4 linked regions of the Schizosaccharomyces pombe genome follow. The gene in region 1 interacts genetically with each later gene. Each region holds a gene or a part of one and is shown on either strand. Other genes may lie near its edges.

Region 1 (8,647 bases):
GAATTTGTTGGCGATAAGTTAGTCATCGCTTTTGTCTGATTTACCACTTCCTCCGCCAAGCAACAAAATTTTCTGCGAACGTAGTGCGCCTTGAACAGTTTCTTTTTGAAGAGGAAAAATGTCTGTTGAGGAACAAATTGTGACGCCCTGGGATGTAAAAGGCTCTATAGTCGATGGTGAAGAGAAAGGAATCGATTATGAGCGCTTAATCGTTCAATTTGGCACTAGGAAAATTACTCCTGAACAACTTGAGCGCTTCGAAAAGCTAACTGGAAAGAAGCCTCATTTATTACTTCGTAGAGGTGCTTTCTTCTCCCATCGTGATTTTGATATGATTTTGGACCGCTATGAGCAGAAGAAACCTTTCTATTTGTATACAGGTAGAGGACCAAGTAGTGACAGCATGCATTTAGGCCATATGATTCCTTTTATGTTTTGCAAGTGGCTTCAGGATGTTTTTCAAGTGCCATTGGTCATCCAGTTAACGGACGATGAGAAGTTCTTGTTTAAGCAAGGTGTTTCCTTAGAGGATTGCCAACGATTTGCTCGTGAGAATGCTAAGGATATTATTGCTGTTGGGTTTGATCCAAAAAAGACTTTTATTTTCATGAACAGTACCTATGTTGGAGGTGCGTTTTATCAAAATGTCGTTCGTATTGCGAAATGCATTACTGCAAACCAATCCAAGGCTTGTTTCGGCTTCACCGATAGTGACTCTATTGGAAAAATACATTTTGCGTCAATTCAAGCCGCTCCTAGCTTCAGCAGCTCCTTTCCTCATATCTTTAATGGCGCCAAAGATATCCCGTGTTTGATTCCTTGTGCAATCGACCAGGATCCCTACTTCCGCTTGACGCGTGATGTTTCTGGTAGGTTGAAATTTAAGAAGCCTGCACTTTTGCATAGTCGCTTTTTCCCAGCTCTCCAAGGACCACAATCAAAAATGAGTGCCAGTAAAGATTCTTCTGCGATTTTCATGACTGATACTCCAAACAAAATTAAAAATAAGATCAACAGGCATGCTTTCTCTGGAGGTGGCGCTACAATCGAAATCCACCGTGAAAAAGGAGGTAACCCAGACGTTGATGTTGCATATCAATATCTTTCTTTTTTCCTAGATGACGACGAGAAGTTGAAACAATTGTACAATACCTATAAGGCTGGTACTCTTTCAACCGGAGAAATGAAAGGAGAGTGTATTAAGCTTTTACAGCAGTTCGTTTCTGACTTTCAAGCAGCACGTTCGAAAGTTGATGAGGCGACCCTTGATATGTTTATGGATGGATCTCGTAAGTTAGAGTGGTAGATGCGTTGTCTTTCTTTCATTTTACAAATAGTGTAAATTAGATACTTGTTTAAGTTGCATTATACAATGAAACTGAATAAACTGTTTTTAGATTGTGCTACAATGTTCAGCTGTTCTAATAAATGAGGAAAACATTTACAGCACCAAACGCACAATATAAATAGAGACTCAAATACTGATGCCTTTTCAAAACTCATTACTACGGTAGAGTTTTGTTATGTTTGCATTCATTAATTACCGAACTTTGTACAATCTCTCAACGACGGTGTAGGATGAGCAAAAGAAGAGATGTATATTTACCTAGACCAAAAATATATACATAAGATCATTAGAACAATTTCGGTTTGGAACTAGTAGACAATAATGGGTTGAAAAACGCATTTAGAACGCGACAAATAAACCATAATTAACAAACTAGCATTTAAATATGACCAGACAATCAAATTAAAGCTATTGTTAAGTATTAATCAACACCGTTGAAGTCTTCAGCAATCACTTTTGATAAAGAAATAACGTTGAAAATCGAAACATAAATATATAAGAATATGTAGAATGAAAAAAAAAATAAAAATAGAAGTCAGAAGTACATTTTAAAACTGTAATTGAAAATGTGGAAAGATTCGTCAATATTGTTTGCAAAAACGAATCAAAAACGAAGGACATCGAGCTTTTGATAGAAATACAAACTCGATAACCTCTAACATAGTAGAAAAAATGCCAAATAAAACAAAAAAAAACTGCTACTTCAACAATGAAGGTTTTATAATGCGTAAAAATGAAACAAAGTAAGAAGAAAAGAGTATGGGCCACGTTGAGTAAGGGGCATAAACGAGAGAAAGTAAAACGAAGGAATGTTGAAACAATAGCAAGTAAGGTCATTTAAACAAAAGAATACTTTTTCTTTTGTAATGCGAATGCAAATGGTTACCCTTAATAATCTAATGTAAAAAAGAAAGTGATTTTGTAAAATAAGCAATAAAAAAGTTCGTCAATAAAAGGTGTTTTATGAGCACAAATTGATATGAACTCAAAGCGCTGGAAAACCTTTATCCATAAAAATATCGAACACGTTTAAGAGCAAAACACTCTACAATATTTAAATATTGGAGTTTGTTGGCATAAACCCGGATATTCCTTGCTGAGGAACAACGAGATCAACAGGCATGCTCATATCAGAAGAGACAGAAAGAACGTCTGACTTGGAATTAGTTCTAGGTGGATTACCACACCTATCTTTACCATAACTAATTCGATAGTTTTCATATCCCTTCTTCTGCTTGATTCGATCAATCGCATTAATCGCACTTGCCAACGACGTAAAGTTAACAAAAGCGCAATTCTTTTCGCGGAAAAAGTTGACGTACTCAATTTCGCCAAATTCCTCAAAATCCTCTTTTAAGCGTTCAATAGTCAAAGAATCATCAGCATTGCCAATATAAATGTTACGACTAGCACCACCAGCAACGGCTAAAGCGATATTTGAGGGAAGAGGGCCGCTATGCTTACCCCAACCTATCTTTAAACGACGGTTGCGAATGACCAAACCATGAATGTTGGACATTTCAAAGAATCGAAAAGCAGAAACAGGGTCAACAAAAGTTACGAAACAAATGTGTTTTTCCTGAAGATAACGAATATTGTGTAACAATCCTCCACGAACAGCGTTACATATCTCTTCAATAGTAGTATCAGCATGGATATTACCAATGTAAACAGTGCGATTCCCAGTCATGATAAGATCCGGTTTTTGGAGAACCGGGCTTGGGGGAGGATACCCCATTACGGGATAACCGCCAACAACGCCGACTTGGCCTTTAGAAAAGTAAGCAGGTTGCTTCAAACCCACAGCGCATCTATCCCGTCCGTAGTAAATGCGCCGTTTGGACCATTTGGGGTTTAATGGTAGCTCTTGGACAGCTTTGATTGCAGCTGCAATGTTCAAAAAATGAACAAAAGCTATATTTCGTTCAGTTACGATTTTGATTTGATCAATAGGTCCAAATGGTTCTAAATCTTCACGAATTTCATCTTCAGTAATACCATTCGGCAAGTTGCCGAGGAATACATTCCTACAAGCGCCAGATTGCTGGACTGCAAGTAGTACAGATGAATTCGAGGCTGAGTTCTTGCCCCAACCAACTTTTACTTCAGTACCCCGAATTGTCAATCTCTTCAAGGCAGCATCTTGGAAAAAGGCAGTAGCGTGGCTCGGATCCAAAAAGGAAATAAAGGCACAATTTTTCTCAGGTAGAATCCATGCAGATTCAATTGGTCCCGTACGCACGCAAGAAAGAATCTCATCAATAGGGGTATTGGGAGGAAGGTTACCAACATACACAGTTTTAACAGGTTGTGTAGTGTTATTCGGAAGTGGAAAGTAACCCGGGGCAAAGTTAGCAACATTAGGACTGGTAACACGTGAAACATTATAGCCAGTCGTGGGATGAGCGGGAGCCGCTGCCATTTGGGTAGTGCTAAAGGGCAAGCCATGCATGGAAGTATAGCTCGTTGGGCTTTGAACAAAAGGACTCCCCATAAGAAGCCCGGTAGGGAGTAGAGCATGCGGTGTGTTTGGTGTAGCGAGACCTTCAGCACTTACAGTATGAGGGATAGTAAGTGGTGGTAAATGTGGAGTTCTTCCAGGGACAGAAAGACGGGACTGACTAGAGGGACTGCTAGAAGACATAATGACCGAAATCAATAACTGTTAAAGAAAGAATTATACTAAGAGCACAGCTGCTTGATTGACAAAGGAAGAAATGTAAAATAAAGAAATCAACGAGAGTGACGTTTGGTAACAAATAATAAAGGGGTATATCTTACAATTTATATCACTTTGAAATATATCGAAAACCAAAATCGGACCAATAAAGCTCACGAACTTAGGAGGCAACTTATGATGCGTTTAACGATAAAAATCCAAGCGGGTAATAAATGAATAGTTAAACAATATCGCTTAAAGCTAACAACAAGTCTGTTTAAAAAACTCAATTAGACGAGAAAGACAATAATTAATAGCAACGGAAAATCTTAGCCAAAAGAAAACTGTCAACGTCCAACGTATTTTTTAATTCTAAAAATAAGAAAACTCGTAATTCCCAAACTGAATAAGGAAACTTAGACTGAGAGGCACGTAGGCAAAGCGAATAAATGGAAGGAAAAAATGCGAATGAAACAAGCAGATCACAACAACCTCAACAAAATCTTGAATGATGTGGAAAGGAATATGAGCCTAACAATGGTAAAAATTTTTTTTTTTTTAATTTTTTAAAAAATTAAGCTTACTAAGTAAAGATACCGAACAAGAGTATTAGACTTACTCCAAGAAATTGATGGAGAATAAAACAAAGTGAAATGAACAAGAGTATGACCAAAAAAGCAAAGTATACAATTCAAAGTAGTACGAAAGAATAATCAATCAAAGAATTCTAAAGACGCGTAGAAGTGTATTTTATCTTATAAAAGAAGAGGAGAAAAGTCAACAGTATGGTCGACAGTGAAAGAAGGAGTTTTAGAGAAGAAAAAAATGAAAAGGGAAAGTTAAATTTCCAAGATAATAATGATTATGAGGAGTACAATGGAAGTAAAAAAAATAAAAAAAAAGAATATAGAAAAACTGGAATAAATATATTCGGAAGGCTTGGTAAAAATGCAGGGAAGAGAAAGTAGATTGAAGTCAATGCGTTCTAACGACCCAAAATATAGTATCACAGAGGAGTAAGAAGAGAAAAGAATGTGGAAATGAAAAAAGAAAATGAAAAAAGGCGATGATATTTATTTCACAGGTAGATTTAAAAGGTTGCTTAAAAAGCAAATAAAGGAGAAACAGAAAAAAAATAAGAGAAACAAGTACCAGTATTAGCGAATAATCAATAAGTATACCGCGAAACAAAAAAAATCAAAGCTTCAAAGTAATACACTCATATAAATGCAAATGGTAGAGAAAGAAATATGTTTTTGAGAAAAAAGAAATGAAAAGAGAAAGAATATTAGATATAGCCAGCGGCTATTCGTGTGGTTGAGTATTTGGTAGTGAGCACGTTAACGGCTTTTCGTTACTGCACTAATATTACTGCGTGCTTATAGAGAGAAACAAGCTACATGCCATTAACGATTATCCAGCGTACACCAACATGTGAATATGCCGCCCAAGGTAACATTAATTCTGGATGTTCCTTCAACGACAGAGCGCGAGTGCACAATCGAATGTAAACACTTGACAACGAGCATGGCAACGAAAACAAACAAAAAAGAATGCACTTGTATGGATTGCGGCAATGAGTTAAATAGTAATAGTGGTAAAATAAAGTAAATATATGCCAGTATAGACATATATTAGAATGGCCCACTAACAAGCACGCGCAAACCAAGTTTTCACACACTGTTTTAGAATTTTTCCATCAACGCCGCGTTGTAAATAAAAGTAAATAAATAAGCAGCCGAAGTGGCTCCCCGAGAGTTTCACACAATTTCGCCCACGTACGTATGTGATTGTGTGCTAAGCAGCGTGGGACTCAAGCAAATAGTTAGACTAACTTGATACAAATGCAGACATGTAATCATCTTCCACTTTGTATAAACACAACGAAAATTTTTATGGGGGTAAAGCTTCTGTCGAAATCTCGCCTCGCTATTTCAGATGATTAGTCGATATCAAAGGAATAATTCATAGAAAAAAGCATGTAGTGCCAAGTGACAAGTGATATCTAACGATAAGCCGCTCATAAAAAAATGTAAACAAGAATAATCAAGAATGTTGGCCGAGCAGAATAAATTCCAAAAAAAAAAATAAATCTTCTGCATGAAAATTTAAATTATCTCGTGCAACAATAAATAATGAAAATCACACAAAAATGATAACTTTGACCGTATGTCTTCTTCCCTGAACGCTTTGCTAAGATGTGACTTAAATCCTAAGCTAACACATTGTTCAAAAGTCTCCGCCTTGCACGGTAGAGGAATATTTTCCGCGTGAAATTTAGGGGGCGTAGACAAGCTCAGTAACTGTCAATTTTCACTTTGGATTTTTCTTTCTTTTTCATTCTATTCAGCTTAGTAATTCATTGACTATCTAATTTGTATTTATCAAAATATTCCGCTGTTGCTTAATCTCTATACACAATTTCGCTGTGAGTCGCTTTATGGTGGCCGCCAAGAAGGGTGAGCGAAAGCGCTCTCTAATTATTACACTGACTGATCAGATAGCTAAATAGTCTCCTGCAAAATTGAGTCTTCTGCTAACTTCAATGCCGCTGTAGCGTAGAAAAGTAGACTCGGTAGCTATTGACCTAAACATATCGACTTTTCTTCAACTCTGCAAACTAACGATTGTCAAGGCGTAAAGGTTGCTACGGAGATTTACATATTTACCGGCCAAGGCGTTTAGTCATTTGATTCACCGTGATCATCGGCTTTCGTTTTTTTTTTTAGAAACTCGGGTTAGCAGAGAAACAAATGCCATAAAGTAGAAAAAAGGCATATGCTCGTTCATAACACTCTACTTAAATTGTTTGTAAATTTTGTCAGTTTACGTAAAAATTTTGGTTGTATACTTAATGTTTAGCACTAATTGTCCTTATTCATAAAAAAAAGCAATACAATTTGTTTTATTAATTAATATTAAAGTAATTAGAACACGTAAAGAAGCAGATATTAGGTTTCAAACTACATTGCGATATCTTCAACGAACTACTAATGACTTGGTTTCTTCTGTAATCTTTTCCACTTAACTGTATTCTATTTTACTAATATAGTCTTATTGTAATGTATTCGTGAATCCTCCATTACCCATTTCTTACACTAGAAAAGAAAAGAAAAACTAGAGACCTATACACGTTTCTAAATAACAAAAGCGTATCTCATAAAGATAACAAGAACACTTGAGCCGCTATAAAAGATTGATATTTTTTGTTGGATTAAACAATCCTAAAGCCCAATTTTCTGCAAAAATTATGATCTAGCCATATATAGCCAATCTCTACATAGCAAAAATGAAACAAAAATCTTTTCATTGCAAAAATTAATAGCAAGACGCCAGGTTTCATCAGTTCACACGCACACAAGAAAACTTGAAGTTCAAGTAAACCTTTACTTGTTTCAATCTCATCCTCCCTCACGTTGCAACAGGGTCCAACGACCTTGGAATAAGAAACGAGCCGTTCTACAAATCAAGGATTTCACGATACGTGACATAGCTAGCATTTAATGAGATTCAGAGTGAATCGCGAATATTCTAGTCTAACTTAACTCAACACTCCCGCAACGATGATCCGTGGAGGGATTAAAATTAAATGATGAAGTGATAACTTTTTAACGTTATCAGGCATTCTAACGTTCCATTCTTAATGTTTATAATTAAATTTTTAATCGACAACAATTTAAACATGTCTTGTTGCCTCATCTTGCCGACCATCGTTAAGAAAGTTTTGCTTCCAAAATGTCTTACAGTTCTTAATTATGCTACCCTCATCATATGGATTGACTGTGGAAAGATTACGAGACAAAGAGGTAGAATTTTGGGAACCTAACTCAGCTCTCGATGGGAAACATCTCACAAAGCAATTTGATTCTCTAATTAACAATATACACTGATCCAATCCCAGGATACCACATACTGTACGTAGAAAGCTTCCATGAATTCCGTGACCATTTTTTGGAGATGAATTTTGCTTTGTAGGAGGAACGAGAGTTCCATATCGTTTAAATAGTCGGAATTCGGCTGTGGTCACGTTGTGAGCAACTTGACAAATCTGGGTAAAAGCTAAAACAACTACCCAACACCAATTCACAAACAAAGTTAGAGAAGCAACTAACACAAACATGTCTTTTAAAGACCACTGGCATATGGTACCAGAAATAAAAAGGCACCTATACGACTCGTATTTTTTTTGAATGGGGATATTCTGTAAATAATAAAATGCAACGTAAAAATAAATAGGAATTAAAGTAGACAATGTGAAGACAAAAAGAAGGAATGTTCTATGGTTCCGTGCCCCTACGCAATTTCCAGTCCAAGGACAATGGTGATCATAACGATTAATACACCTTTTACAAGCTCCACAATGATAAGAACGAGGAGGCTTAACTTGAAAGCATTTTAAACAATAATGAGATTGATTAAAAAGATCCTTGTCCAATAATTTGCTAATTTCTTCACGACGTTGAACGACGGCACCAATTTTGTCTACATATCCAGGATTTTGAAAAGCTGTACGAACATATAATCCAATACAAGTAAATGAAATCAAAACAAATAAAAGAGAAGAGAGAGGTTTTATGGGTAACGTCTTAGGTACTATATATAACAAAGAATGACACCATACCCAGAAGAAAATTGAGGAA
Region 2 (5,113 bases), on another chromosome or scaffold:
ATTCGTATGTACAGTCGTCTTAGTCTACTATTGTATGGTATGTGGCATACGCAGCCGTGGGTGCCAGCCAGCAACCATACCAAGTCAAAAATTTCTCTTATAGCAAATCAATTCTTCATTCAATTCAAATAATGTAAAAAAAAACGCATCTATAGAAACATACGATGAAACTTTTTAAATACAAACTAATAATGAAAATACTCGCAGACTAACAATGAAAATACTCCAAAATCTAATAAAGAATTAGCAATTTGGCATTTCATGAAACCGTAAAGCGTCAAACGAAATGAAATCTAATAAAATTAATAAAATTAAAATAAAATGCCTTCTTCTTCTTCTCAGTTTCATCGTATGATTTTCTCTTTTAATTTCTTCATTTTATTCCACTTTCCTTCTCTTCTTTAGTTTTTCCTCATTTTTGGATGTTGGGAATACAGCCTCTTTCTATCTAGTTTCATCTTCAGCCTTTTTCACCACATGTTCAATCATTCGACTCTTTCTGTATTCTTCTATCTCAATTGAACATTATTGAGTCTGTTTTAATGAAAATTTTTTTTGTCTTCCCTTGATGTTGGCGCAAAACTAGACGTTCCAAATTTTTTCTCATTAATAAAGGATTATCCTCAAATCGTTTTTATAGCCCCCTTTCTACTTTGTTCGAGCATACACCGTACATTATGCATTTGCATATAGATGGAGTGATCTAGGAACTTTTGTAAATTTTTTTCTCTTTGCTTGTTTTTCCTTCCTACGAAAGTTCTACCCCTTCGTTGCACTTTTCACTTCAGTGTCTTTTTCCATAGAACAAAATGTTCCTAGCAGTTTTGCTGCTACTCTTACATTATTTTTGTGTGTTTCCTTAAACAAAAGAAATTTAAAAAAATTAGAAAAAAAAAAAAAATTTAAAAATAAATAAATTTTTTTTTACGCTGCTTCTAGAGCACAAATAACACACTCTCTTCATTCCACTTGCTGAACCTTTTAACGATTATTAAAAAATGTTTTATTATACATTACTACACCTTTTCGAAACACTTGTGCGTTAACTCGCTTTTTTTTATCGCTCTCAAGGACGGAAGCTACTAGGTTAGTTATATTTCTCTTATTTATTTGGTTATACATTTTACCTTGGATCATGATTTTTCTTAGTATACATTGACATTCGAATACCAGCTTTGAAACTTAAAGCCCTATGCACCTAATCATTAATTATTTTTGTTTTTATTTATTTATTCTTTATTCTTTTCTAATCAAACACTACCATATCTATCGGACAATTCAATTCCTTCTGTCAAGACCGATAAATCGTTGTGTTTATCTTCCATTAAAATATTTTTCGGCCCTTTTTTTTTCTGTTTTTCTTTACTTCTATGTATTATTCTCTATACGTTGAGCATTTTACCCAATCATCCTGTGCTTTCCCATTAATCCATCGAGGTATTTCTTACCAGCTATTTCTGCCGTACATTCTTTCCATTTGCATATAAATCTCAGGATACCTTGTTAGAAATCTTGTCGAATGATTCATACAGGTCGTTACGCTTATACGGAGATCTGCAGCATATTATTTGGCTTCACGTTATTTTGATTTTACAAATTTGATTGTATCCCTTAACCATCCCTTGTTTTGATGAAACATTTTTTTATCCACGTTATCCTTATATACTGATACGTAAGCTAACGTGCAAAAGTTTCTCCTTAAGATTAAGCAACGTGTTGTCTGACTTTCGTTATCCTTTTATCCTTCACCAACTCCATCCCATTCCACCTTCTTGTATACCCAAACATACCCCAGCCGGCTGGCGATAGCTGGGATTCCTAATCTCTCAAGCATTCCCTTTCGACGTGTATATCTTATTTACATCGTACCGACTACACTTCCTATTTTATCACCCTCCCTAAATTTTCCCATTTCCTTTAAAGAGCAGAATTTTTTTTGCTCTTTACTGTAAGAGAAAAGCGTTTCTGAATTTTTTCTCTTCCTTCCACACCCTTACGTGTTATCTTTTAGAAAGATAATTTCAAATTTCTTTCCTTTTTATTTCGTGTTTGTGAATTATTACTTTTTCTCCTTACCTTTGCCTCCTTACTCGTCGGTCATAACTCGGTTTTAAAGTATTGACTTCTCGGACTAAGATTAACCCACACCTTTTTACTTTTTTTTCTTTAGTTCTCCTTGGGAAATTTATTATCTAAGCCCCTGTTTCTTCCAGTTTCTGGCTTTTGCTGTTAAATTTAAACCCTTCCAAACCTCCTTTTTTTCCGTGGCATTTACCTACACAAAGCTACTCGTAGGTGATTGCCTTTAAACTTCCTTTTTTTTTCTTGGAATATCCTTCCTGCGGACTTTTTAGACCACCGCTTTTTTTTTCCTTCTTCGTCGGAGACGACTCGTAATTGATTGTCTAATTTTAATTGTTCTTTTCACCCAAGATACCTTTTTTGTATTGCCATCTCACTTTCGTTCATCTTCACTTTTGCTTCATTTATATTACCGGAATTTAGTTTACCTAATTTTTTTTTCTTTTTTTTTAAGTTTGTGAAGCACATTTATTTTATATGTCTTCTCCAAATAATCAACCCTTGTCTTGCTCATTGAGACAGCTGTCTATTTCTCCTACCGCACCTCCCGGTGATGTTGGTACTCCCGGCTCGCTCCTTTCTCTTTCGTCTTCAAGTTCTTCAAACACCGATTCTTCTGGTTCTTCCTTGGGTTCCTTGTCTTTAAATTCTAACAGTAGTGGCAGTGACAATGACTCAAAGGTTTCTTCTCCTAGTCGTGAAATACCTTCCGATCCCCCTCTTCCCCGTGCCGTGCCTACGGTCAGACTTGGCAGATCTACGTCCAGTCGGAGTCGTAACTCTCTTAACCTTGACATGAAGGATCCTTCGGAAAAACCTAGACGTTCACTTCCTACAGCAGCTGGTCAGAACAATATTGGATCTCCTCCTACTCCACCGGGCCCATTTCCTGGAGGACTTTCAACTGATATACAGGAGAAATTGAAGGCCTTCCATGCATCTAGATCAAAATCAATGCCGGAAGTAGTCAACAAGATCAGTAGTCCAACTACCCCTATTGTCGGTATGGGTCAACGAGGAAGTTATCCTTTGCCTAACTCTCAACTTGCTGGTCGATTAAGTAATTCGCCCGTAAAGTCTCCGAATATGCCAGAGTCCGGGCTTGCAAAATCACTTGCTGCTGCTAGGAATCCTTTACTCAACCGTCCAACGTCCTTCAATCGACAAACGAGAATCCGTCGTGCACCACCTGGAAAACTCGATTTATCCAATTCCAATCCCACCAGCCCTGTCAGTCCGTCTAGCATGGCTTCTCGCCGTGGCCTAAACATTCCTCCCACCCTTAAACAGGCTGTTTCGGAAACCCCTTTTTCCACATTTTCGGATATTTTGGATGCAAAATCAGGCACCTTAAATTTTAAAAACAAAGCCGTGTTAAATTCAGAAGGTGTTAACTTTTCATCTGGCTCTTCGTTTCGTATTAATATGTCAGAGATTATTAAGCTTGAAGAACTTGGAAAAGGTAACTATGGTGTTGTGTATAAAGCATTGCATCAACCGACTGGTGTCACTATGGCCTTGAAGGAAATTAGGTTGTCCTTAGAAGAAGCAACATTTAATCAAATTATAATGGAATTGGATATTTTACATAAAGCAGTTAGTCCTTATATCGTTGACTTTTATGGTGCCTTTTTTGTGGAAGGTTCTGTTTTTATTTGTATGGAATATATGGATGCTGGTAGCATGGACAAACTGTATGCTGGTGGTATCAAAGACGAAGGAGTTTTAGCTAGAACTGCTTATGCTGTAGTGCAAGGCCTCAAAACTTTGAAAGAGGAGCATAATATCATTCATCGTGACGTTAAACCTACTAATGTTTTGGTAAATTCTAATGGCCAGGTTAAGTTATGTGACTTTGGCGTGAGTGGGAATCTTGTGGCTTCTATATCCAAAACGAACATTGGATGTCAATCTTACATGGCTCCTGAAAGAATTCGTGTTGGTGGACCTACCAATGGCGTCTTGACTTACACCGTACAGGCTGATGTGTGGTCTCTAGGCCTTACCATTTTAGAAATGGCTTTAGGAGCTTATCCGTATCCACCTGAATCATATACTTCAATATTTGCACAACTATCGGCGATTTGCGATGGCGATCCACCTTCTCTCCCCGATTCATTTTCTCCCGAAGCTCGTGATTTTGTAAACAAGTGTTTGAATAAAAACCCGTCTTTGCGTCCCGATTATCATGAGTTGGCTAACCATCCATGGTTGTTAAAATATCAAAATGCAGATGTGGACATGGCTTCATGGGCAAAAGGCGCTCTTAAAGAGAAAGGTGAAAAAAGAAGCTAAAGGTTCGCCTGCTTTCTAATTGCCTGCTCTGTTTTAAAGTACCCATGCGCATTGGTGTTTGTCTTTAATTTCGAATGCATGACTATTACGTGATCCATAATTATGTTTCAGCAGAACCGACGCTATTTTGCATTTGTGCTTTTTCATAAATTTAATAATTTGGGTATGATTCCGTATAACGGTAGTTGATGTTTGCATTTTTGCTTTAAATTAAAACGGGTATTTAATGTGTTATTACATTTGTTTAAGGCATTTACGTCCACCATAAAAAACTTTTTTTTTATTTAACTAAGGGGCTTTAGAAGTGCAAACGAAAGTTTGCAATTGTAAAAGTTACTTGTACTGTATTAATTTATTTCTTTTAAAACTTCGTTGACTGGCTCCGTCGTTTTAGCTACTATGATCTCCTGTTTCCTACAATGGTGATTACTTAGAGAGATTGAATCCATCGTAAATGCAAGTGTTAATAGATATTATATCGACCTAATAATAATTACTTAAACTATTAATATATTACTCAAAGAGATTTGAGGTATTCATTTATTTAAAAAGTACGAGACTTTTATATATCAAAGAAACAAATTCTCCCAACATAAGTCCAACAAGGTAATCTAGAGTCATAACAGATTTTTATCCTGGAAATGAAAATTCCTTCATAGTGGAATATTTTTTGAGAAAGAACGCCGTAATATATTACGGTCGCTTTTGAGATGCGTATTTCGCTTTTGCAGTTTCA
Region 3 (6,186 bases), 3.3 Mb from region 1:
ACTGAGACTGAGGAGTTGAACAAGACCAAGCCCATTTGGACTCGCAACCCCAGTGAAGTTACCAAGGAAGAGTATGCCTCTTTCTACAAGTCTTTGACTAACGACTGGGAAGACCATTTGGCCGTCAAGCACTTCAGCGTTGAAGGTCAATTGGAATTCCGTGCCATTCTTTTCGTCCCCCGCCGCGCTCCTATGGACCTTTTTGAGGCCAAGCGTAAGAAGAACAACATCAAGCTCTATGTTCGCCGTGTTTTCATTACCGACGACTGTGAAGAGTTGATTCCTGAATGGTTGGGTTTCATTAAGGGTGTTGTTGATTCTGAGGACTTGCCCTTGAACTTGTCTCGTGAGATGCTTCAACAAAACAAGATCATGAAGGTTATTCGTAAGAACCTTGTCCGTCGTTGTCTTGATATGTTCAACGAGATTGCCGAGGACAAGGAGAACTTCAAGACTTTCTACGATGCTTTCAGCAAGAATTTGAAGCTTGGTATCCATGAGGATGCTGCTAACCGCCCTGCTTTAGCCAAGCTTTTGCGTTACAACTCCCTTAACTCCCCTGATGATCTTATCAGTCTTGAGGACTACATCACTAAGATGCCCGAACATCAAAAGAACATTTATTTCATCACTGGTGAATCTAAGCAAGCCGTTGAGAACTCTCCCTTCTTGGAAATCTTCCGTGCCAAGAAGTTTGATGTTCTCTTCATGGTTGACCCCATTGATGAGTACGCTGTCACTCAACTCAAGGAATTCGAGGGCAAGAAATTGGTTAACATTACTAAGGATGGTCTTGAGTTGGAAGAGACTGACGAGGAGAAGGCTGCTCGCGAGAAGCTCGAAAAAGAGTATGAGGAGTTTGCTAAGCAACTTAAGACCATTTTGGGTGACAAGGTTGAAAAGGTTGTTGTTTCTAACAAGATTGTTGGTTCTCCTTGCTTGTTAACTACCGGTCAATATGGTTGGTCTGCTAACATGGAACGTATCATGAAGGCTCAAGCCCTTCGTGATACTTCTATGAGTGCCTATATGTCTAGCCGCAAGACTTTTGAGATTAACCCCAAGTCTCCCATCATTGCTGAGCTCAAGAAGAAGGTTGAGGAGAATGGTGCCGAAGACCGCTCTGTGAAGGATCTTGCTACTATTTTGTATGAGACCGCCTTGTTGTCCTCTGGTTTCACTCTTGATGACCCTAGTGCTTATGCTCAACGTATCAACCGTCTTATTTCTCTTGGTCTTAGCATTGACGAAGAGGAGGAGGCTCCTATTGAGGAAATTTCTACCGAATCCGTCGCTGCTGAAAACAATGCTGAGAGCAAGATGGAGGAAGTCGATTAAATCAAATGCATCTAATGTGTCTTTCCAAAATTTATGCATATAATGTTTTTCTTGGATTAAAGCAAGTTATCCTATACATTGTTAACGATTCTAGTGTCTGTTGTCATTCAAAAATTTCTTTCTACACGATTTTTCTTAATACACACTAGATTACAGGTTGTTTGGAAGTTGTTATAATATGGAATGTTGATTAGTAATATTAAAGTTTATGGATACTTATTAGTACATCAAATTTTGTTTTCGAATAATGTAGTTTATACTACTAACAAGTACAAGTTGGTGCTTAAAAGTTATTTTTTTCTAGTCATGTGAGAGCTGTTTTACAAGGTAGGATAATTTTGATGAGGAACATAGGTATGCTGGGCTAATATAGATTTATTCATACATTAATTGAACCCTCGAATGAAAATATGGTTAATGACATTAAGCCTAAGCTCTAACTCACTAAACACTGCAAATAATAGTAAAGTCGCAGAGAGTAGCTAAGTATTGAGACACATAAAGTATAGGTCACAACGAACATAAATGTATCAAATGCTTTCATAAAAAGTTAAAAGAGAAGAGGAAAATTCGTCTAAGGGAAATGGCTCAGGTTAAAAAGATAAAGTATTAGAGGGAAGAATGTGAAACATATCTGGCTGCTCTTAACTCAATTGCTATCTTTTGACCCAGCAATAGCATCAACGAATTTCTCGTAATAGAATACACCATGACTGGTGTACGAGCGTAAAATAGACTCGACTTCTTGAGGATCCATTCTATCACCCATACTTGACAAAGCATCTCTCATAGTGGAAATTGGAATTTTGCCGGATTGAGTATCATCGAATGTAGAGAACGCTTCTAGTAGATCATTTCTGGGGGAGATTCGACACAGCATACTACCCATCGCAGTGAGAAAAGCGGCTAAATTAATAGGCGGATTTATTGACTCAAACATGTGATTGATTGAATCTTCGGAGGCATCCTGATTCAAAGAAGTAAGCATGGTTTTGACATCCTCTCTTCCAATATTACCGTCACCATCTTTGTCTAATAGGGCAAAAGCCTCTTTAAGTTCTTGAATTTGGGAAGAAGTAAGTTGCGCAAATGCACCAGAAGATGCTCGTTTAGCGGCTTGGGCAGCAACTCTTTGAGAAGATGTTGTATTTGATGAAAATGGGGCACGTTTAGCACCTAAGGAATTTTCCTTCGAAGAGAACATCGTTAACAGAGCAAATGATCAAATAAGATATAGTTATGCTGTAAAGTAAAGTACGGAAGAATTAAGAAATGAAAAAAACTGCTGCCCTTACTGCAATAGCGGTAAATATGAATTTTATACACCGTAAGGCGAGGATATCAGCAAGTCATAAAAAAGGAGTCTAAATCAGTCACTAAATGCTAAGACTTGAAATATTCAAAAGGGAAAGCTAAGAATTCTCTAAGTAAATGTATCTGACAATTAGTTGTAAAAAAATCTATAAATAGACATATAGGAAGTAACCTATGATTGTTGATATTCAAGCTCTTGGTAAGTCTCAGAATTTAACATAGGCATGGAATACTGAGAACAAAGGAGATGTTAGTCTTTAATGACCCACGTTTGGTGCCGTTAAAATTAGAGAAAAGGCGAACTCTCAAGGATTTTTTTTTTTAGTATACATTTAGAAGAATTATATTTATCATAGTGTTTTATTTCTTATGATTATTATTTTATATGCTTAATCAAATCTCAATGTTTGATCAACAATGCCATGAGCATAATAATAATTTAATTTCGAGGGGTTAATAAAAGTTGAAACAAACGTAAGCAAATTTGTCAAGGATATAATGTCATTTATAAGTTGTATACACAGTAAAAAGTAGAATCAAAAAGGCCTCTTGAATTAGCGCTTCTTTTGATTTTATTTATTTACACTAATTTCGCTGAGCTGTCAAGGTTGAACAAAAGTAAAACTCAGTTAACAAAAAGTGAAATTTGAATAAATGAGTTAAATCAAATAGGCCTTGAAATATCTTTTTGCGGGCAAAGACTGAGTAGGCTGGGAATGAAGGAAATAAGGAGTATGACTTTAAGAACCAACTAGCATTATTCGGTTGAATTAAACAAATCCTTATTATAAATAAAAAGTAACAATAATAGAAACTGAATAATTTCTGATTTAATGGACAAAACTAGATAGACAATAGAAATTCTGATTTACAGAGATTTAATGAAAGTCAATAAATATCAAAGCATTGCAGAAAATTGATTTACCGTTATCCTACACAGTTCCGTACAGTCAAAACTTGTCTTAATGGTAATCCTTATTTCGAGCGAAAAATATTGATTTTCTTTTTCTCTTTGTCTTTCGGTATTTTGGAGTTTTGATTCTTAAGTGTTCAACGCCTTTAAAAGGCTCAATCATTTGTGATTTATATTATATCGATTAATTACAGCAGCTACTCCAAATACTGAGTCTGAACTTGCACACCAAAGATATTAGAAACAGTTTTTTTTAGTTAAAAGTCAATTTTTTCCATGTTACGTTGGTCATCAACGTATACGTTCGGGCTATTATGGCTCATCATCGGTAGCGAAGCATTTCATCTGAATGCTCTGAAGCAAGATCATTTGGAGCGTATGAAACAATACGATGCAAAAATTCGGCTAGCGAAACATGAATTTGATGATACAAGTAATGAAACAAAGTAAAACTTTATATTTATAATTGGATTCACTAATTAGCCTGCCAAATTAAGTAAGAAACGTCTGTTTCTTTAAATGGTATTGAGAATGTCTTCTTGAGCAACCTCAGTTAAGGAGTCCAGCATCTTAATCGTTTCTGGGTTGGTCAATTTCTGTAGTTGATAATGCTTTAAGACAATCTCCGCAAACGTTCTTGTTGTCTTTTTGGTTGAATAATCACGGAATGCTTTTTCGTATAATACTTTGGCATTTTTATACAACACAAGTTTGGAGTTTTGAGCTACCATGATGGGGATAGCTGCACGTTGAATCTCTAAGTCAGCTCTAGAAATGAGTATTCTTACATGATTAGGATTGTAAGTGTTAGCCATCTTTAAACTTTTGGCAGCTACTCCTAACATATTCCAGGCTCTAGTCATTATTTCAATAGATGCGCTTTCTTCTGTAGATACGCAGGAATCTAGTAGCGTCTCTGCAAAGTCTATGTATGCATCGGCTTTGTCGCACAGCAATTGAATATGCAAAGGTTTAACAGACGAGTTCGGATCCAACGGGTTTTGCAAGTTTAGCTGTGGTAATTGGCTAAGTTGATGGTCAAAAACTTGCAGTAAATCAATCCATGCCACCTCATTTTCTTTACCACCAAGTACTAAACGTTTGGTTTTCGCCAAGTACCAGTCCATTAGCTTTAATATATCGAGTTTTTCCGTAATCGGTAGCATTATCTGACAGAGTTTCTCAAAATCTGATTCTTCAAGTAACTTGCAACTGCATGCTAAAGAAGCAATTTCGGTAACTAATGTCGATGCCTCTTTGTCTGCTTCTATAAAGTATAATCGTCGAGCCTGTATGTCAGGTATTTCTTCATATTTTTGTTGCGACGATGTTTGTATAGTATTTTCCCATTCAATTCTTTCTCGTTCTTGTAAATCAATGCTATGTGAAATGGATTGCAGTGCTTGCTGGATTTCAGGATATGCCAAATCTTCGCGATCAAGATCCACCCAAATCTCAGCCAAATTAAGATGAACCTGCGCAAGGTTGAACCAAATATCTGGGGCCTCTTGTAATAATAAGGCGTGCTTATGCATCTCAATACTTTTCTGGAGGCATACTTGTGAATCTTTGTATAGCATATCGCAGTTTGTAGCCATATTGAGTAGCAATCTTGCTTTATTAAAACGAGCATCAAAATCATTCGGACATTGTAATAAATATCTATCATATGTTTCAAGGGATTTTTGATAAAATCTTAAACACTATTGCTTGTTAGTTTTAATTTCACGTGCTCAAGTATTGAGAACTCGGCGCAAAAAAGCGTAAATTCTATTTGTTTCTCAAAACTAATATTACAATTCGTATGAATGATCATGTTCAAACGTTTTTGAAATTCACCATTATAGCTTTGTACATACCTTTGCAGGTTCCAATCGCCAGCGATCCCCACTTTCTTCTAGATCAATAGCTATTTCAAAGAGTTCATCTACAGTCGGGTTTTTCTTAGGTTTGGCTTTTTTCGTCTTTAGTCCTTTTAGCACTTGATTTCTAGAGAAACTCATATCTGATATTCCAAAAAATGTATGCAAATGCTTAAAACAAAATAAAATAAAAAAGTTATGTATGAGAAATAAAATGCAATATATTGTAATCAGTAAAAATAAAAGATTGTGACAGTCAACATTAATTGGTAATGGACAATTGAGGTTGCACTAATTTGACATGTCTTTGCATTTTCCTCTACTACCTTGAAACGTGAAAATACGATCACTTTCGTTTTACATTCAACATTCCTTAAATATTTGGAAACATTGTAGTTACTTTTTAGTATTTTTCAATATTGTTAAAAACGGGAGGTGCACCTACCAAAAGTTCAAACTTTTTTATTACCAATTAACTGTGGTAAAAATTCGCTTGTCTTTCATTTAAACTTACACCTTCTATAATATCTATACATTACAAATAGAAGAGGAAATTTTGACTCATCAAAAATCCCAAGAATATACTATAAACTATGACCAAGAATATTCAAGTACTTTTTGTATGCTTGGGAAACATTTGCAGAAGTCCAATGGCTGAGGCAGTTTTTCGAAATGAAGTAGAAAAGGCTGGACTCGAGGCACGTTTTGACACCATTGATAGCTGTGGCACTGGTGCATGGCATGTAGGAAATCGACCTG
Region 4 (10,395 bases), 2.0 Mb from region 1:
TAATTAGTTTTCTGTAATTAAGCCACGCTTAGGCTCTATAATTTTAGACTTGTTTTAATTTCGTTTAATTGTATTTAATAAACAGCGAACTAAGAGTTCTTTTCCTCCGAATTTATATACGACATTTAGAAAGATTCCGAACAAAAGCAAGAGCATTAAGTATTCTTTTTCTTTGTACTTTCGCCCATCCTAATTTGCAAATTAGGAAATTACAAAACGTTATCGTAGACTGAAGAAGTACACTTCTATTCCTGTTCGTTAGCACGTTTAGTGGTGTTGCGATGCACTGGATTTATCACTAATCATTTTGTACTTCAGGTTTTAATTGTTCAATAGTCGAATTAGAGGTAGTCAATTATACGTTATCAGAATTTGTTTATTAAACATTTATGTCTTCATTACATTGCTTATACGACGGATAATAAAACAGGCTTAAAAACTCCTATTCATATGATGATACTCATAATATTATGAAGTGCATTAGAAGAAGTTACTCGTGTCCAGCGCCAGTTTATTGTGTTTCAAATTTATACCTCGTATAATGCGTTTTGTTCTGGTGGGCATAGATAATCTGCATATATAGATATTAAAATATGATGAATACTTACCAGTCAAACTATTGGAAACAAAAAAAATAAGTAAATTTAACTTACAGCTAAATAATGTAAACATACCCATCTTAGTTGTAAAGCTCGTCAAAAACAATTTAGTGAGTTTTACTGAAGGCCGAAGCATTTTTTGCATAGTATAAAACTAACAATCGCGAGAGCATTACTCTGTAGTAAGGCCAAGAGTTGCAGCATTTATGAATTAATATAAATACAACGTCTCTTTTAAATGTTATGCTTCTCTTTGGCAGCATTTTTTGTTCTTTTTAATACTTTTGTATCATTATCCTTCTAATAGAGTTAAAAAATAAATCTATGCGATTTTTTGCTAAAAAACCGTTATTTTTTAGACAATGCTGAAAAAGGAGCAGTTAACTGTCGAATCAATTAATGATGGAATATCTAAAACGTTTAGTCAAGCATTCCGTTTCCTGGCTCATCATGAGTTACGCAAGAATAGAACTTTCATGCTTGATTTGGGAGTGTCGATTTTAAAAAAATTTTTAATTGATAGCAGGGATTATAAAGTAGAAGTTGTTCAAGATTTTTGCTCAAGGAGCTTAACGGATGAGTTTAAGTTTAAATTTACATCACAACCTATAGATTCAAAGTCAGAATCAGATTCTGCTTCTTACATTCGAAACTATTTGGGACCAGAAGGCATTAAACAATTTGGGGGCTCAAACTGGTGGCTTTATCGAAAGTCACCTTTAAAATCCTGGTGGATTGAAAGGCGACATCATATAAGGCACAATCTCAAATGTGATAAAGTTATTTTTTATGTTCATGGAGGTGCTCATTATTTAAGTACTGTTCGTACTAATGCTTATCATATTCAGCGTCATACTGCAGCTCTGGGTGCTAGAACCTTTGCTCCAGATCTGCGGTTAGCACCGCAATTTCCCTTTCCTTGCTCTTTGCATGATGTACTTTCATCTTATTTGTATCTACTTAAAAGCACCAAGCCAGAAAATATAATATTTATGGGCGATAGCTCAGGTGCTGGTTTAATCGTTGCATCACTAGTTTTGATTAGAGATTCAAAATTACCCTTACCTGCTGGAGTAGTTTATGATTCCCCTTGGGTTGATTTGACTCATAGTCTTCCTTCTGTAGTTGCAGATGATGCTGCTGACTATATTCCAAGCGAAGGATTTCATCACCGAGCCAGCAGATATTGGCCCATTACTAACTTAGATTCTTTCTCAACGATATCCGAAAAGGAATTACTAAATTATTCCAAGAAACAAGAATTGACTAACTTTATTGAAAACAGCATACGTAAAAAAATTCAGACCATCAAAAATTTGATCCCCGTGTTGCAAGAGATGGATAAAGAACATGCACGTATTGATTTTGACAATGTGGACTCTCGTTTAGACCCTAACATTTTGACTACATTTCCTTTTCAAGTACAGTTTTATACCTCTAATGCAAATTTAAAGCATCCTCTGATCAGTCCTATCTTCACTGAAAACCTTGGTGGTTTACCGCCGTCACTTGTTCTGGGTGGATCGGGCGAACGCTTACGAGACGAAATAGTGTACATCGCTCACAAAATGAATACAGACGTATACAATGGTAAGCGTACAAAGGTTCGTTTGGAAATGTACGATGATTGTTGTCATGTCGTTACAGCTCTTCCTTTTGTAAAAGAAGCTGGGATTATGGTCCGACGTGCTGCTAATTTTGCTTATTGGTGTTTAAAGCAGCATGATTCGTCTTTTGTATCGCCTAATAAACACCTTGATGGTAATCCGTCTCATGCTAATGAAGATATGGTTCGTTTAAGAATTTCGCGAAATGGTGAGGAACGATTGATGGAGCCTAAAGATGAAATTCAATGTTTAAATTTACCGAAAAGTGCTTTAGGTACTATACAGGTGAAAGCACTCATTCGCTGGATTGACGTTGAATTAATCTTGCTCAGTAAAGACACTAAAAAGCCAGCACGGTACTTCGCTGAATTTAAACACGCCGATTTAAATGGGTATTTAGTCAAGCCCAAAGAGTATACGATGGAAGGGGAAAATCCTCCACTTTCTGCCTTGGTAGCTAACTGTAAAATTAGCCCCGAAAAAAAACAATAATTGCCTGAGACTTGTTTTCATTCTTTTATTTTATCTCTTCTCGATTTCCTTTTTCGTTGAAGTTGAGTTCTTTAGTTATTCACTTTACTTCAACTTATTTATTTTATCAGAAGATTACTAAGGGATATCCACATACGTGCCTAATATCCTGGCAAAAGACGACTGGCTTACTACATTTTAACAGGTATAATTTATTGTTTAACCATTTATAAGTATTCTCTTACATAGTATTGTAAACAATCCATTTGTATTTCGTTGCCATAGTAACATTCATAAATATTTACATTGCTGCGCAGTCATGATTTATACAGCTGCAGCATTGCCAATGTGTTATACTTCTTAATTTAATGTCGTATCTTTCAAAAAATGGCTCTAACGACAACAATAATATTATCAAAAAGCTAGTAGATGCTGAAAAACATTGCAATGCCGTGAAAGACGCGTCTTTTGATGAACGGACATGGATCTGGATTCCTGATTCGAAGGAATCATTCGTGAAAGCTTGGATAGTTGAAGATTTAGGAGAAAAATATAGGGTGAAATTAGAAAGAGATGGCTCGGAAAGAATTGTGGATGGATTTGATGCTGAAAAAGTAAATCCACCGAAGTTTGATATGGTTGATGACATGGCTGCGTTGACATGTCTCAACGAACCATCAGTAGTTAACAACCTTACTCAGCGTTATGAGAAAGATTTAATATATACCTATTCAGGCTTGTTTCTCGTTGCTGTAAACCCCTATTGTCATTTACCAATTTATGGCGATGATGTTGTGCGAAAATACCAATCTAAACAGTTTAAAGAAACTAAACCCCATATTTTTGGAACAGCTGATGCCGCATATCGAAGTTTATTAGAAAGGAGGATCAATCAATCTATTTTAGTTACTGGTGAATCAGGAGCTGGAAAAACTGAAACTACTAAAAAGGTTATTCAGTACCTAACATCGGTCACTGATGCTTCCACAAGCGATTCTCAACAGTTGGAGAAGAAAATCCTTGAAACGAATCCTGTGTTGGAGGCTTTTGGGAATGCTCAGACTGTCCGGAATAACAACTCATCCCGCTTTGGCAAGTTCATACGAATTGAATTTTCTAATAATGGAAGCATCGTTGGAGCGAATTTAGACTGGTACCTTTTGGAAAAATCTCGCGTTATACATCCTTCCTCCAATGAACGCAATTATCACGTCTTTTATCAACTACTTCGAGGTGCTGATGGATCATTGCTTGAAAGTCTTTTCCTTGATCGATATGTTGACCATTACTCATATTTAAAAAATGGTCTCAAGCATATTAATGGAGTCGATGATGGCAAAGAATTTCAAAAATTATGCTTTGGTCTCAGAACTTTGGGGTTTGATAATAACGAAATTCACAGTTTGTTCTTAATTATAGCTTCAATTCTTCATATAGGAAATATTGAAGTAGCATCTGATCGTTCGGGGCAAGCTAGATTTCCTTCCTTAACGCAAATTGATCAATTATGCCATTTACTCGAAATCCCTGTTGATGGATTTGTTAATGCAGCTTTACACCCAAAGTCCAAAGCTGGACGAGAATGGATTGTGACGGCAAGAACACGTGAACAAGTAGTCCATACACTACAATCCTTAGCCAAAGGCCTTTATGAGCGTAATTTTGCGCATTTAGTGAAACGTCTGAATCAGACTATGTATTATTCTCAGTCTGAACATGATGGGTTCATTGGGGTTTTAGATATTGCTGGGTTTGAAATTTTCACTTTTAATAGTTTTGAGCAACTCTGTATTAATTTTACAAATGAAAAGCTTCAGCAATTCTTTAATCATTACATGTTCGTTCTGGAACAAGAAGAATATACACAAGAACGCATCGAATGGGATTTTATTGACTACGGAAATGATTTGCAGCCCACCATAGATGCTATCGAAAAATCTGAGCCCATTGGTATTTTTTCTTGCCTCGACGAGGATTGTGTTATGCCAATGGCTACTGATGCTACATTCACAGAAAAACTTCACCTTCTTTTTAAGGGTAAATCCGATATATACCGTCCTAAAAAGTTTTCTAGTGAAGGCTTTGTTTTAAAACATTATGCTGGTGATGTCGAATATGATACCAAAGATTGGCTGGAGAAAAACAAAGATCCTCTAAATGCATGTCTTGCCGCACTAATGTTCAAATCTACTAACAGTCATGTGTCTTCTCTTTTTGATGATTATTCGTCAAATGCTAGTGGTCGAGATAACATTGAAAAGAAAGGAATCTTTCGTACTGTGTCGCAGCGTCATAGGAGACAGCTTTCTAGTCTTATGCACCAACTCGAAGCAACTCAGCCTCACTTTGTCAGATGCATTATTCCAAACAATTTGAAGCAGCCTCACAATTTGGATAAATCTCTCGTTCTTCATCAACTTCGATGCAACGGTGTACTGGAGGGTATTAGAATTGCTCAAACTGGATTTCCAAACAAACTATTTTATACAGAATTTAGAGCTCGTTATGGGATTCTTTCGCAGTCATTAAAGAGAGGATATGTCGAAGCAAAAAAGGCAACAATAACGATCATCAATGAATTAAAATTACCTAGTACCGTATACCGTTTGGGTGAAACAAAGGTATTTTTTAAAGCCAGTGTCTTGGGTTCTTTAGAGGATCGCAGAAACGCTTTACTGCGGGTGATATTTAATTCATTTTCAGCTCGCATTCGTGGGTTTTTGACAAGACGGAGACTTTACCGGTTTAATCATAGGCAAGATGCAGCTATCCTTCTACAGCATAACTTGAGGCAGTTGAAGTTATTGAAGCCACATCCTTGGTGGAATCTTTTTCTGCATCTTAAACCGTTATTGGGAACAACCCAGACTGATGAGTATTTAAGAAGAAAAGACGCACTCATAAATAATTTACAGAATCAATTGGAAAGTACCAAGGAAGTTGCAAACGAATTAACTATTACCAAAGAACGAGTCTTACAATTGACTAACGATTTGCAAGAGGAACAAGCTCTGGCACATGAAAAGGACATTTTGGTAGAAAGAGCCAATAGCCGGGTTGAAGTTGTTCATGAGAGACTGTCAAGTTTGGAAAATCAAGTAACTATTGCTGATGAAAAATATGAGTTTTTGTATGCAGAGAAGCAAAGCATAGAGGAGGACCTTGCCAACAAACAGACAGAAATTTCTTATCTTTCCGATTTATCATCTACATTGGAGAAAAAGCTGTCTTCAATTAAGAAGGACGAGCAAACGATTTCTTCTAAATATAAAGAGCTTGAGAAAGACTATCTGAATATCATGGCGGATTATCAACATAGTTCGCAGCATTTATCAAATCTTGAAAAGGCTATTAACGAAAAGAATTTAAATATTCGCGAATTGAATGAGAAACTCATGAGACTTGATGATGAGTTACTATTAAAGCAACGAAGTTATGATACAAAGGTTCAAGAATTAAGGGAAGAAAACGCAAGCTTAAAAGACCAATGTCGTACTTACGAATCTCAATTAGCAAGTCTTGTTTCCAAATACTCAGAAACAGAAAGTGAATTGAATAAGAAGGAAGCCGAGTTAGTTATCTTTCAGAAGGAAATCACGGAATACAGAGATCAACTTCATAAAGCTTTTCAAAATCCTGAGAAAACTCATAACATTAATGATGTAAAAAGTGGCCCCTTAAACAGTGATGAGAATATTTATTCTACTTCTTCGACCACGCTTTCAATTTTGAAGGATGTTCAAGAGCTTAAATCATTACATACGAAAGAAGCAAACCAGTTATCTGAACGGATTAAAGAGATAAGTGAGATGCTTGAGCAAAGTATAGCGACTGAAGAAAAGCTTCGTAGAAAAAATTCTGAACTATGTGATATAATTGAGGCCTTAAAATACCAAATTCAGGATCAGGAAACTGAAATTATCTCTTTAAATGCTGATAATCTGGATTTGAAAGATACAAATGGTGTTTTGGAGAAGAATGCTAGTGATTTCATAGACTTCCAAGGTATAAAAAGCCGTTATGAACATAAAATTTCAGATTTACTGAATCAGCTTCAGAAGGAAAGGTGTAAAGTTGGGCTATTAAAACAAAAAACAGAAAATCGGTCAGTTACACAACACACTTTAGATGGAAATTCTCCACATCCATCATTTGAAGAGAAACATTCAGGTGATCCTCTAAAACGCATTGATGGTAATAACGATGATCGAAAAATTGACAATAAATTATTGAAAACAATTAGTAAAAGCCTTGATGCTTTGCAACTAACCGTTGAAGAAGAACTTAGCAATCTGTATTCCCTCTCTAAGGATTTATCTTTTACTGACATTTCGGGACACATACCAAACTCTATTAGGAAGCTTGAAAAAGGGTTGAGTACTTTATCAGAATTAAAGGAACGTCTCAATGCATCAAATTCTGACAGACCTTCCCCGGACATTTTTAAAGATACTCAAGCTATCATGAATTCTCGGAAGCTATTAAGCAATCCTAATTCTGATGCTCAAAGTGGTTTAATATCATCATTGCAGAAAAAGCTTTATAATCCTGAATCTAATATGGAATTTACTGGGCTGAAACCTTTGTCTCCAAGCAAAATCAGCAATTTACCCTCTTCTCAACCCGGCTCACCTTCAAAGAGATCTGGCAAAATGGAAGCACTGATTAGAAATTTTGATCAAAATAGTAGTATTCCTGATCCCTTTATCGTTAATCAACGGAATTCCGTGCTTCAAACAGAGTTTGAAAAAATCAATTTGAAGTTAAAGGAAGCTACAAAGTCTGGAATCTTAGATAACAAAGATCTATCAAAATTTTCGGAACTTATACAATCTTTGTTAAAAGAAAATGAGGAACTTAAAAACTTAACTACTAGTAATTTAGGCAGTGATGATAAAATGCTTGATTTTGCTCCATTACTTGAAGATGTTCCAAATAATACTAGAAACCAAATCAAAGGTTTTGTGGAAAAGGCAATATCATCGAAGCGAGCTATTGCAAAGTTATATTCGGCAAGCGAAGAAAAGCTGTTTTCAACGGAAAAAGCTTTAAGAGAGATAACCAAGGAAAGAGATCGTTTGCTTCATGGGTTGCAAGGACCTTCTGTTCCTACATCTCCTTTAAAGGCTCCCACTGCTTCTCAATTAATAATTCCCAATTTTGATGGTAGTATAACTAATTATTCTGGAGAAGAAGAAACCGAGTGGTTGCAAGAAGAAGTTAATATAATGAAGATAAAGGAGCTTACTTCTACAGTTAACAAGTACCGCGAACAGCTTGCGATGGTCCAGTCACTCAATGAGCATGCAGAATCTTCACTTTCTAAAGCTGAAAGGTCTAAAAATTATCTTACCGGGCGTTTACAGGAAGTTGAAGAACTCGCTCGCGGATTTCAAACAACAAATGCTGATCTGCAAAACGAACTGGCAGATGCTGTCGTGAAACAAAAGGAGTATGAAGTTCTTTACGTTGAAAAGAGCAACGATTATAATACTTTGCTGCTGCAAAAAGAAAAACTGATGAAACAAATTGATGAGTTTCATGTCATTCGTGTTCAAGATCTCGAGGAACGAGAAAAGAAGGATCAACTACTCTTTCAACGTTATCAAAAGGAGCTAAATGGTTTCAAAGTACAGTTGGAAGAAGAACGTGAGAAGAACTTGCGCATTAGACAAGATAATCGGCACATGCATGCGGAAATTGGTGATATCCGTACCAAATTTGACGAATTAGTTTTGGAAAAGACAAATTTGTTAAAAGAAAATTCAATACTTCAAGCAGACTTACAATCTCTTTCTCGTGTCAATAATTCTTCCTCAACAGCGCAACAAAATGCCCAAAGCCAACTTCTTTCTTTGACTGCACAACTCCAAGAAGTACGAGAAGCAAACCAGACATTAAGAAAAGATCAAGATACCCTTTTAAGAGAAAATCGAAACCTTGAGCGAAAACTTCACGAAGTTTCAGAGCAATTGAACAAAAAATTCGATAGTTCTGCAAGACCTTTTGATGAAATTGAAATGGAGAAAGAGGTATTAACACTCAAGAGTAACCTTGCTCAAAAAGATGACTTACTATCATCATTAGTTGAACGCATAAAACAGATCGAAATGTTTGCGCTAAAAACTCAAAAAGATAGTAATAATCATCGAGAAGAAAATCTTCAACTGCATCGTCAACTCGGAGTTTTACAAAAGGAGAAAAAGGATTTGGAGCTCAAATTGTTTGATTTAGATCTTAAAACTTATCCCATATCAACATCAAAGGACGTCCGAATGCTACAAAAGCAAATATCAGATTTGGAAGCATCGTTTGCTGCTTCCGACATCGAACGAATTAAAGGAATTGATGAATGTCGCAATCGCGATAGGACTATCCGTCAACTGGAAGCTCAAATATCAAAATTTGATGATGATAAAAAGAGAATACAGAGCTCAGTTTCTCGTTTGGAGGAAAGAAATGCGCAACTGAGAAATCAATTAGAAGATGTGCAAGCTTCAGAAACACAATGGAAATTTGCACTACGTCGGACGGAACATGCTCTTCAAGAAGAGCGTGAACGCGTCAAAAGTTTGGAAACCGATTTTGATAAATATAGATCTTTGCTGGAGGGTCAAAGAGTAAAGAGAAGTGAAAGTAGATTATCCATGAGGTCCAATCGTTCGCCTAGCGTTCTAAGGTAGCCAAGCTTCCCAAAGACTCGACATGTATTTTTTAAGATGATGTAAATTATTAGTTCATGAATTTAAAATTATTTTATTATTACTATTATTATGCTCTGCGTCAACGTAACAAGTAACCACAAGGATACTTTAGTTCAAAAAAAAAAGTAAGTCGGTCAAGTAAAAGGCATTTTAGTTCGGTTTACTTTTTATTTTACCCCTATTATTTGTACAATGGTTATATGCAGCAATCACATTGTAAAAGAAAACTATGAAGAGATAGGCGGCGATATTAAATGTAGAAGAGCTCTTGCATAACAGCGGCACAAATATAAATACAAATACAAATAAAAGAAGAGGACATTTACAATTACACTTTAACATTGTAAGTTGGAAGAACATCACAAAAAAATTTCATTCAAGTATAAAAATTCTAAACGTGATTCAGTGGCTTGCATTATAAAATATTTATTGTCATAACAATCATTATAAACTGTTTGTAAAGAACAATCATAAAAGGAGCAAACGTTTTCAAAAAAATAAAACAATTACTCGATGTATTGAAAATCAAACACCGACTTATTGAAAACATCGAATGCATCCAACATGAAGTAAAATCTATTCTTGAGCACCATTGAAAGCGAGAAGGTTAATAGTGCTGCTACCAACAGGAATAGACAAGAGTACATCGTGAATACCCATCTTAATGATAGCATCTTTAACTTCGCTAGCGCTGGCAGCAGGGTGTAGGCCAAGGTAGTAAGCGGACAAACCTGCAACATGAGGGGTTGCCATAGAAGTACCAGAGATGGTGTTAGTACTAGTATTTGAACCGATCCATGTAGACAAAATGTTAAGTCCAGGAGCGAAGATGTCAACACAGCTACCATAGTTAGAGAAGTAGGCCATTTGGTCGTTTATAGTGGAAGCGCCAACGGTGATGGCTTTCTTAGAAGCAGCAGGAGATGAATAGCAAGCGTCATCATACTCATTTCCAGCAGCAACGGCATAAATAACACCGTTGGTAACGGCAGAATCAACAGCCATATCCAAAAC

What was found.
Region 2: of nrd1 (region 1) and wis1, changing one suppresses a phenotype caused by changing the other (phenotypic suppression), as found in Schizosaccharomyces pombe (one study listed by BioGRID).
Region 3: mutations in nrd1 (region 1) and rlc1 impair growth when combined (synthetic growth defect), as found in Schizosaccharomyces pombe (one study listed by BioGRID).
Region 4: mutations in nrd1 (region 1) and myp2 impair growth when combined (synthetic growth defect), as found in Schizosaccharomyces pombe (one study listed by BioGRID).

The regions. Positions count from the first base shown.
Region 1 is NC_003424.3:551,976-560,622, reverse strand, and holds nrd1 (RNA-binding protein Nrd1), read right to left. Parts: upstream 5,338-8,647; 5' UTR 3,993-5,337; coding exon 2,403-3,992; 3' UTR 1,572-2,402; downstream 1-1,571. Other genes in the region: tryptophan-tRNA ligase Wrs1, read left to right, coding at 119-1,306; palmitoyltransferase Akr1, read right to left, coding at 7,684-8,647.
Region 2 is NC_003423.3:1,143,231-1,148,343, reverse strand, and holds wis1 (MAP kinase kinase Wis1), read left to right. Parts: upstream 1-1,740; 5' UTR 1,741-2,559; coding exon 2,560-4,377; 3' UTR 4,378-4,613; downstream 4,614-5,113. Other genes in the region: ubiquitin hydrolase Uch2, read right to left, coding at 5,071-5,113. UniProt on the Schizosaccharomyces pombe protein: Dosage-dependent regulator of mitosis with serine/ threonine protein kinase activity. May play a role in the integration of nutritional sensing with the control over entry into mitosis. It may interact with cdc25, wee1 and win1. May activate sty1.
Region 3 is NC_003424.3:3,883,926-3,890,111, reverse strand, and holds rlc1 (myosin II regulatory light chain Rlc1), read right to left. Parts: upstream 2,851-6,186; 5' UTR 2,543-2,850; coding exon 1,988-2,542; 3' UTR 1,615-1,987; downstream 1-1,614. Other genes in the region: Hsp90 chaperone, read left to right, coding at 1-1,338; protein Ina22, read left to right, coding at 3,842-4,015; SPOM_SPAC926.02 (uncharacterized protein), read right to left, coding at 4,081-5,268, 5,425-5,568; protein tyrosine phosphatase Stp1, read left to right, coding at 6,021-6,186.
Region 4 is NC_003424.3:2,546,316-2,556,710, reverse strand, and holds myp2 (Myo3-like myosin II heavy chain myp2), read left to right. Parts: upstream 1-3,007; 5' UTR 3,008-3,045; coding exon 3,046-9,360; 3' UTR 9,361-9,451; downstream 9,452-10,395. Other genes in the region: SPOM_SPAC4A8.06C (esterase/lipase), read left to right, coding at 962-2,698; vacuolar serine protease Isp6, read right to left, coding at 9,958-10,395. UniProt on the Schizosaccharomyces pombe protein: Stabilizes the F-actin cables forming the F-actin ring that surrounds the nucleus during interphase. May work in conjunction with myo2.